2 linked regions of the Zea mays genome follow. Each later gene encodes a partner of the first gene's protein in a complex. Links are inferred from orthologs where the notes say so. Each region holds a gene or a part of one and is shown in the gene's direction. Other genes may lie near its edges.

The links.
Region 2: THO complex subunit 5B-like (region 1) and THO complex subunit 1-like share a complex: the UniProt entries of both Arabidopsis thaliana proteins name them as parts of the THO complex. The link is inferred for Zea mays from reciprocal best matches to the Arabidopsis thaliana genes THO5 and THO1.

The regions. Positions count from the first base shown.
Region 1 is NC_050100.1:218,468,508-218,473,293, forward strand, and holds the end of THO complex subunit 5B-like, read left to right. Parts: intron 1-1,042; coding exon of another isoform or gene 1,043-1,045; coding exon 1,046-1,377; intron 1,378-1,512; coding exon of another isoform or gene 1,513-1,602; coding exon 1,603-1,850; intron 1,851-2,190; coding exon 2,191-2,770; intron 2,771-2,851; coding exon 2,852-2,965; intron 2,966-3,048; coding exon 3,049-3,303; 3' UTR 3,304-4,022; downstream 4,023-4,786. UniProt on the Arabidopsis thaliana protein: Acts as a component of the THO subcomplex of the TREX complex which is thought to couple mRNA transcription, processing and nuclear export.
Region 2 is NC_050096.1:2,948,961-2,954,118, forward strand, and holds the start of THO complex subunit 1-like, read left to right. Parts: upstream 1-1,692; 5' UTR 1,693-1,959; coding exon 1,960-2,088; intron 2,089-2,525; coding exon 2,526-2,609; intron 2,610-2,786; coding exon 2,787-2,861; intron 2,862-3,176; coding exon 3,177-3,267; intron 3,268-3,404; coding exon 3,405-3,550; intron 3,551-3,649; coding exon 3,650-3,721; intron 3,722-5,158. UniProt on the Arabidopsis thaliana protein: Acts as a component of the THO subcomplex of the TREX complex which is thought to couple mRNA transcription, processing and nuclear export. Contributes to the integrity of the endogenous trans-acting small interfering RNA (ta-siRNA) pathway.

The DNA.
Region 1 (4,786 bases):
GCTGAATAGTGCAAAAGACAAGAGGCTAGCGTGGAGTAAAGAGATAGTCTCACACGTTTCACGATGCCCCTCTTTCTCACACAATATGATATAAATTGCTATTGGCTCTCTCTTCCACGTTTGCTAGCTTAGAGCTTGTACTAGCTCATATTGTTGGAGATGCCCTTAGACTTTGTGGTTAGGGACACAGATGACTATGTGAGTTAATATGATTTGCATGTGATTGAAGGTCTTGGTATCTATAAACATCCTTATCACGCTTGGTAAAAGGGAATGGAAGGACTGGTATTCACATGCGTACTGGGTCTGGAAAAGTATCCGGCATGTACAGGCGCAATAGCTATTTGCATGCAGTTGCATGCGTTGTTTCCTGTTTACGTGCACCCACTCTTCCTGTAATCCTGTATGCAGTTATTGTAACTCCTTGTTTACCCAGTCAGCGGTGTGCAGGCGGGAATCTGGTCATTGTGGGAGCATGCGTGTTGCAATAAGCATGGCGACACATGCATGCAGTTATATTGTGTGGCATGCAAGCTGGCAACTGCTTGAAACTGAAGCGTTTTTGCGGCTGTGAGGTCCTGGTGAAAATTGTTTAAGCGCCTGTGAACACAAGATGTAGGGAATATGTCACAGCTATGTGTCCTTGCAAAGTTGTGTTTATCTGTTCTGTGTTTCTCTATTCTTGTTTTTATGTAGAGAATCAATGATGTCCTCATAAGAACCTATGATTGATGGTACAGTCTCTATAAATTCTTTCTTTAGGTTACCGTGTTGAGGTTGGTGGCTTGGTGCTTTGGGACATTTAACGTAAACCAAACAGCTTGTGTTTAGTGTTGCTGCATAGCAATCTTTTCCTGTAGGTTGTGGTCTATTTTAATATTCCTAACTGATAACAGCATTCTTGTAGTGCATAGTTGCTTAATTATTCATCTTTTTAAACCAGAGTCTAGAGATAAGTAATCTTTTGTCCATTGCTGGATCTTCTGTTCTTAAAGCTTCATGGCAGGCTTGGAAATTAGTGTGTCTCATATGTATCTTGTAGCAGGCACTCTTTCAAGTGGCGACAACAGAATGGATGATGATGTGATTGATGATGAAGAAGATGCTCAGAGAAGAAGATCAAGATCCAAAAAGAATGTGGTGAAGGAAGCTAATAATCCAGCAGTGGCCTATCAACTTCACCCACTTAAAATTATACTTCATGTATATGATACTGAAGATTCTGGTAGCAAACGCCGTAAACTCATCACCCTGAGGTTTGAATACTTGGCAAAGTTGAATGTTGTTTGTGTCGGAATTGAAGATTCAGAGGGTCTGGACAGTAATATCTTGTCCAACCTATTTCCAGATGACACTGGTTTAGATCTGCCTCACCAGGTATGTAATTTAATTCGAAGCAGATGGTTTTGATTGCTAGTTACACCATCCTTATGGAAGTTTTGGTGTTTGTTTATGTACCTACCTGTTTTTGGTTTATTTCAGCCTCACAGGCCTTTAATGTGATTTTAGCAGGGATATGTTTTGTTACTACATCTGTATCTAGTATCTTCTTGGGGCCTCTCATTTACGTCAGCTGAAATAGTGACTTGTCAATTTTCTCAGATGGCTAAGATTTATGTTGGGGAGGTTCCAAACTTCAGCGACAAGGATTCAAGGCCATACAAGTGGGCACAACATTTAGGTGGTATCGACTTTTTGCCTGAAGTGCCTCCATCTGTTGGGGATGATTCTAGCAGAGCATTAAACACTGCTGATTTGTCATCTGGGCTTGCTCTGTACCGTCAGCAGAACCGTGCACAGACTATTTTGCAGAGGATCCGCTTGCGGAAAGTTGCACAGATGGCTCTTATGTGAGTCACTGGTCTATGTTTTTTGCTGTTTGGGACATCGATGAAAAAAACCGGATGGCAGATTAGCCTGAGAGTGACCGTGTAATTTGACTGACGATTTTGAGCTAATGATGCTTTTGCTTCATTGCACATGTCATTCTGAGTTATGGCAATACTATGAATCATTTACCAGGCAGAAATTGTGAAACATACCATTTATATCTTCTTCATATGTTCTCTACATATTGATTCAAAGCTAATTATTGGCGACCTTCATTATAATGTTATTCATGACTGTTATATACATGGCCTGTTTGATTGGTAGCATCCCTTTGAAGTTTTCGAGTCTCTTTGATTACAGGTGGCAACTTGATTATTTGACAAAGCTGAAGTGGCCTCGAATAGAACATAAGAATGCACCATGGGCATCACGCAACCCACTGTGCAGTCTACATAGTTGGTCATTGACAAGTTATCCTGAGTCATCTCGTTCTATTTTGATGCTAAGTGGTGCTGCAAGCAATGTTGACAGTGATGTAGAGAGATCTGTGACAAACTGGGAAGAAACTGAGAGTATCAGGGAGGATGGGGAGCTTCCAGTTGTTATTCCTGCTGAGAATGAGCCAAATGGTTCTACAATTTTGCAACCTGAGGTGTCAGCTGAGATCCGGAGCCATTCTAGAGGCTTATCTCTTATATCAAAGAGTGCAACACCATCTAAGCTAAGCATCTCACGAAGTTTTGGTAGAAATGAGGACGATCTTGATCTCTTGATGTATAGCGACAGCGAGTTGGAGGACCAGCCCTGCATTCTTGACGAAACTGAAAAAGCTACTAGCCCGATTAGAGACAGATTCTGGGAGGAGTATGCTTCCAAGGAATTCACCATGGTCCTGAGTAAAACTATGAAGAATGGTCTAAAAGTCATGCTGGAAGCCAAGGTAAACTATGTCATCACTATTTGTTCTAAGCCTTCATGCATCTCTCCATGCTCTTGCTTCTGACATTAAGACTTATCACAGGTTAAGATAAGTATGGAGTATCCTCTTAGACCTCCCCTTTTCAGATTACGTTTGCTCTCAGAAAAGTCTGAAATTTTGAAGTGGCACAATGATCTTCGTGCAATGGAAGCTGAGGTTTGTGCTAACATATCGTGTAACATGTTTTATTTAGTGCATTTCTGAGGGTAGCTCTTAAAGCTCACTATCATGCTGTGCAGGTAAATCTTCACATCCTTCGAAGCATACCTCTATCATATGAGGATTATATATTGACTCACCAAGTTATGTGCCTGGCTATGCTGTTTGACATGCATTTTGATGAGGAAAACGAGAAAAGAAAAGTCACTTCAGTGATCGATGTTGGTCTTTGCAAACCTGTTAGTGGAACTATGCTTACTAGATCGGTTAGGGGTAGAGACAGAAGGCAAACTATTTATTGGAGAGGTGCTGATTGCTCTTCCAGTTACTTGTAGAGTATGTGCGATCTTGATTGGTCTTGGTTGAGTTCAGCATTGACTACCCTCTGGAGAAATCATTTCTGGGCATTGGAGAACTGCATATATAACTTAAGAGCTGACACAGATCCCCTTGTTTATCACTACTGTGTCTTGACAGCAATAGCTGGGAAGATTTCTCTGTGCCCATACTGACTCGAGAAACTATTTACAATGCTGATGGTAACTACACTTTTATATGCCCAGGAAGAAAAGCTATAGGTGCAGTTAATCACCACAAGGCTTTTACTGCATGAATATTGTGCTATATGTTTCAAGAAGCCTTTCTGCTAGTTCCTATTTTCTTGGTTGTTCAAATTGGTATCCTGGATCTACCCAGAACATTTCCAACCGCAGTTAAATCCTGGAAGCTTGCAGCATTCTTTTGCAATAAACAGAGCTTGCTTACCCGGATGAAGATGTTGGAGGACCCAGCTTTTAACCAACCTTAGTTATCTCAATCGCCTATGGTTGGCCGACAGCTATGAGGTAAATGGCTTACGGTATCAATCATTTGTTAATTCTACATTTGAGTAACGCTGTGGGTGCAGTAGCTTTTGCTCTTCCAAAAACACTGGACAGAAAGATGAGATTTATGTCCCACATGATGCAAGTAATCGTTTGAATGTAATTTGCGTTTTCCAGCCATGGGAATGTCTGAACGTATGGAGGAAGTAACTCAGCAGCATGGTGCTATCAAAAGTTACTATCAAAAGTAGAAAATAATATATATATATATATATATATATATATATATATATATATATATATATATATATATATATATATATATTAAAAAATATATAACGACCAATTCAATTTTCTGTCCAAATATAAGCATATATAGGAAGTTAGTGAAGAAGTCATAAATAAATACAACGGTGTTACTACGCGTTATCCTTTGTAGAGGCTGTCGAAGTAGAGGCAGAAGTGCTTGAACTGAAGCGCGTTGTCGTCGTATGGCACCCTCGGCACCATGTCGTTGCAGTACACGAACCTGAAGTACCTGCTGGGCTTGCCGAGATACGCGTCCGTGAAGCTCCCGAAGACCCGAACGCCTCGTCCCCTGGCGAACATTATCAATTTTGCTATTATTATTTGTAGGCTTCCCTATAATGTCATCGAACCCACAAATTATAGAAACAGATGGTCTCATCAGTTATAAATACATGATGTTATACCAAAATTGAGAGCGACAAGACAGGGACTCAAATGCATGTTTCCATACTTAGAGCCTGTTTGGTTTGTAGCTAAATGTGCCACACTTTGCCTAAGGTTAGTCGTTCGAATTGAATAACTAACCTTAGGCAGAAAAGTTAGGCAAAGTGTGGCAACTGAGGTAGTGAACCAAACAGGCCCTTAGTCTCGCTGTATTGAGCTGTTCTTTGCTCGGCTCATTTTGGTTTTCGGAACCTAAACTGATGGGAAAAGGGGGTATATAATAGGAAAATAAAAGAAGAGG
Region 2 (5,158 bases), on another chromosome or scaffold:
AATATAATAGAGCTAGCAAGCAAAAAGGTATTGGTTCGGCCGGAAGTGGTCGATAAAGGCAAATGCAAAAACGTCGTCATTGGCGATCCTCGCACGTCGAATATATCACAAGAAGGGATTGCTCGGAAATCTCTGGATAGAAATACTAACAAGTATGGAGGCACCAGGGGCTGGTTCAATCGAGCACTCGAGTAAAGCTCCCTGACTCGAACATTGCAGACTGTCCGTCACCTGCGCGCGGACGACCCGGTGCTCATGCAGACGGTCCGGCTGACTCAGTCGGATAGTCCGCCCATGGCCAGAGGTGTCAGCCTCCACAAAAAGCAAAGGGGATGCAAGGGCAAACCACATGTAACGCACATGGTCGGCTGGTCAAAACCGACTCTAATTTAATCAATTGCTATCCAAATACGCTAGCAAGAAGGGTGTTCTACGCGATCGGCCAACAAAGAAACCCTAGTCATCCGCTAAAACATAACGGTCGAATAAAACGACCCAAAAGGCGGCGCAACAATCATTGCCTATTCATCCATCTCTAGTGATGTCAGGATACTTTCCACCCGCCTACTCATCGTTGATATGTTATCCTGTGACGATGAACCCATGGTACATACATAGTCCTTTGCCTATTCAGGCTGGGAGCTCCTCCATTCCATACCTTTTGATCCATTGATCGGATGGTCATGGCCGAGAGAGATGCAATCTGAAACGTCCTTTATACATTAGAGTTATATTGAATGATCACCCTATTAGGTCGAAGAGCCGGTGACTTGCATCAGGCTTAGTGCATATGCTTTTGGTTCGTCAACCTTCACCAAAAGGAAGGGGGCATATGTTGAATAGCAAAAATGACACCCGGACCGTCCGCCCTAGGGCCGGATGGTCCGCGGTCCGAACTATCCACGGTGGCGACACAGACGGTCTACACGTACGCAGAATCAGATAGGGTTCCGAATTTCTAGCGGGATTTGTTAGCAAAGCATGTAGGAATAACTTGATGACCGACTTGTAACAGGTCTAGACCTCCACCTTTTATCTGGATGAAGGGGTACAACCGATTGAACCTCTCACAATCGATCCAATCAAATCTACTTATCAATTACCTTATTTGCATCATTCTTCTAATTCCTAGGAGTAGGAGTAATTTTGCCTTAGGTTTAGATCTAGTTTAGTCTTCCACAACAACCTCTTCTTTGACTCTACGCCGATTAGAGGAGCACCAGGCGGCCTGCCGACCCAGAGCACGCCTTGGAACTCTCCCCCTCGATGGGATCTCTCCCGTGGCGAGTTCTAGGATTCTCCACGGAGATGAAGACCCTCTCCACCACTGCGGACCGTCCGGCCCTAGGCGCGGACACATCCGAAAGCCTGCATAGGAGGATCCGCTCTTGTGCCCTGTGCCGCGGACCGTTCGCGCCTCCGTAGAGAGCACACCGCGCAGGTGGTTCGTTTCAGTGGTTGGCATCCAGATCGGCGCCAACAGGGTGATTTGGTTGTGTGAATTTTACAACGTTTAAACTGATGGGTGTATAGATATAGATATAGATTTTAAAAAACAAAAGAAATAAAAAAATGCCCAACGGGGAAGGTAGTATTTGGTCTGTACTGTTTCCTTGCGTGATGGACATGGACTCTCACACTTGACATCCGTTATGGGTCGCAGCCCATGCACAGCCCAGGTTCGCGGTCCATCTGTCTTGTGTTTCTCCTTCCTCATTCCTCAGCTCGAGCTCCTCGACGGCTCGCCAGTCTGCCGCCGCGCACGGCGCATCTGTTCCTTCTGCTCTGCGACGGCGAGCCTCTCCCCTCCCTCCGTGCTCGTATCGTAGCCTATTTTCGCCGCCGCAGCTTGCCCAGTGCTGTTATCTTGTGTTCGGCACCGCGTCAAAGGCTGACCCTCTCCAGGCGCCTGGTAGATCGCCCAGACTCAACCGGGTAAGCCTTACCGCGCACGCCACCATGGCCGAGCCCTCGCCGCCTCCGGTGTCGAACGCTGGCCTCCGTATCCTCCTGTCGAAGGACCGGCCGGCTCCCTCCCCTCCACCCACCGCCGCTGTCTCCAGCCACGCCGACCGCGACCGCATCATCGTGAGCTAAAACTCCCTCCCACTCTGTTCATGAACCCTAGCGCGGTCAATCAGTCATAGTAGAAACTTGAAACTTTGTCCCTGATTTGGGTGGCACGAAGGGTCCCGTCTTCGTCCATTTCCCGCGAGTGGTACTGTGCTAGTGCTAGTGCTAGTGCTGGTGGACTCCCATCCAGTGCCTCCACACGGTTGCAATTTGTTTCATGCATCACGTTTCTTTCTGTTTCGACTTTCGATCGCAAATTTTTTTTTTGAAAGGAACTTTCGATCGCAAAATCACCATGGAACTTCCATAGAGGCGTTGGAAAAACCGTTGGTAGCGGCCTAATTAGGGGTTGTGTGAGAGGATGGAGAAGGAACATTGGAAATTTAGGGGAGTTGTTTCTCCATGCTACCACACGTGTACGCTTGGTGAAATGTGGCCTTTGCTCTTTTCAGGGAGTTTTCAGGAGCGCGTTGTCTAGGAACGAACCCCCGGAAACATTTTCCCTTCAGACGGTTCAGGAAGCAATTAAACCTCAGGTATGTACGTTGAATCTGGCATGCTTGTGAGTCTTGATTTGATGATGAACCGTCAGTGGTTCATGTTATTATTTTCCTCTATTTTATTTGCTTGTGTTTTGGGTAATACCTATCTGATTCGACTTGTCTTTTAGTTCAGTTAATCATCTGATTTGACACACATATCTCATTTCACAGAAGGAAACCGTGTTGGTTCTAGAGGAGAATCAGTCCTTGGAAAATGCTCTTCGAACTTTGCTGCAGGAGCTTGTGGTAACTTTCCATGTGGCTACACTGTTCTTTGATCTCACTTGATGATAAGGTGGTTAGGGAGTGTTGTTGGCGCGTGCATTGTTCTGGTCACTGCATCGTTAGGAATACTATGTTTCAGAGTAGCAGAGTTTTAATGACGATTTCTAAAATAAAACGGAAGACGTGGCTGTATTTTTTTTATTTCAGTCCTAGAAAATTACATTGATTGCTGATTCTGTTTTATATGAAAAGTGCAGGTCAGCAGGTGTATAGTTCATTTGCCATCTTAGGAACCAAAATTGATTGCTGATTCTGTTTTATATTTTTTATTCTTAGTCATCTGCGGTCCAATCGGATAAAAAGATTATGCAGTACGGGAATTCTTTGGATAGCGGAGAAAGTAACTGCCTGATAACTCGCCTTCTTGGTCAGTTACACTTCTTCCAACATTCTATGTTCGAATCTGTTCCTATCTAAGGACTTATGCCATCACCTTCTGAGCACTATTTGGTGCATGTGTAGTATTATTTTCTGTTCTGAGAAACCAATGCTCTTCCATGATAGATATTGTGCTTTACCTTTGCGAAAGAGGGCATGTTGAAGGTGGTATGGTATTCCAGCTGTTAGAAGACCTAACTGAAATGTCAACAATCAAAGACTGCAAAGATATCTTTGGGTATATTGAGAGCCAGCAAGATGTATTGGGGAAGGTAATTTTGATCCCTATTTCGTTTGGTTAGTTCTGGTTAAATAGAGAAGATGCATGCTTGTAACGTTGTTGACTGATTATCGTTTTGGGTTGTTTGTAGCAAGAACTTTTTGGACGTGGCAAACTAGTTATGCTAAGGACTTGCAACCAACTTCTTCGCAGACTATCGAAGGTTAGATTCAGTTGTTCTGCTGTGCCCACCCTTTGAAGTTTATAAATTATATTTGCTGTTGTTCCCACATTTCAGCTTGGCTAAATGGCTATTTTGTTGGCCAGCTGATTTACCTTAGTTAATCTCGTATGTAAAAAAAAATCCCCTACCCTAACCCCCCAAAAAAGACCTGATATGAACTATGTGGCATTGCCAGTACGAAGAAATGGACACCCAAATTGAAAGTTAAAGAGGACATGAACCTGCACCTTGCGCACCAACTGAGATCGGCTCAGTTCCTAGTAACCTTGTCTATTAAACGGATTAATCAAAAACTGAACTGCAAAGTGTGTTAAGTATTGCTGATAATCTTGGCTATAATCTAAATGGTTGATTGTACTGTATCACCAAAATCTTGAACCTCATGAACCCATGGTTCTTTTAACCTACCGAACACCTTCAATTATCACCCTTCGAATGTATTGGAGACTTGGAGTTTTCCAGCACTTCTTTTTGGCTGGAGAGAAATGCACCACTGGTCTTTTAACTTGTCCTACCGTGTCATTTAAAAAACTCGGCCGGGGAGGGAAAGACCGCCCTCCCGGTATTCCATATAAGAAGTGTCAACGAGTCTATCCAGTTGTAACAGCTAGGACCGAGTCTCTTGTTCATGTAACGGCCTCTGCCGATTCTCTAGGTGCATGGCCGATCAGCTGTGATCCGTTAGGTTCGGCCACCGCCTTCTGTACGTGTATAAATAGATCACTTGAGATTAATACAAGTTATGCGTTGATCCAATTCACCTCTTTCATGGTATCATTCACCAGGCCCCAGTGACTTCAGCTCACCGCTGCTCTCACTTTCTTCAACCTCTCGATCCCTCCTCTGCCCCTCTTCCACACGCCATGGACGGCCATTCTTCCTCCTCTGACTCCGACACCTTTGTTCCTGAACAACCAACACCCGAAGACACGCAGGTCGTCGTAGGATGGCGGCGTGCCGAAAAGGAGCTGGTGGGGAGTTGTGGAGCCAGTAGCGCGGCATGGACGCCGATTGAGGAGAAACGTGGCAGTGGAGAGTGCCTCGGCCCAGAACGCTAAAGGAGCTGCACAATGAAGAAGGAGGGTACGCAGGCAATTGTTGATAGTGCGTAGTATGCGTTCGGCTTTCCCATTCTGTTGGGATGTGTAGGGACAGGAGAGGCGAAGTTGTGTGCCATGAGCGGCAAAGAAGGTGCACATAGCATAGGAGTCGAACTCTTTGTCGTTGTCAGTCTGGACAGCGAGAATAGGCAAGCGGAATTGGGTATGAACGTAGGCAAAGAACGTACGGAGGACGTAGGGGACGTCAGATTTTTGACGCAGCGGGAAGGTCCACACATAGTGAGAAAAATTATCAAGAAGAACGACATAATATTTGAAACCAGTATGACTAAGCACTGGTGAAGTCCAGACATCC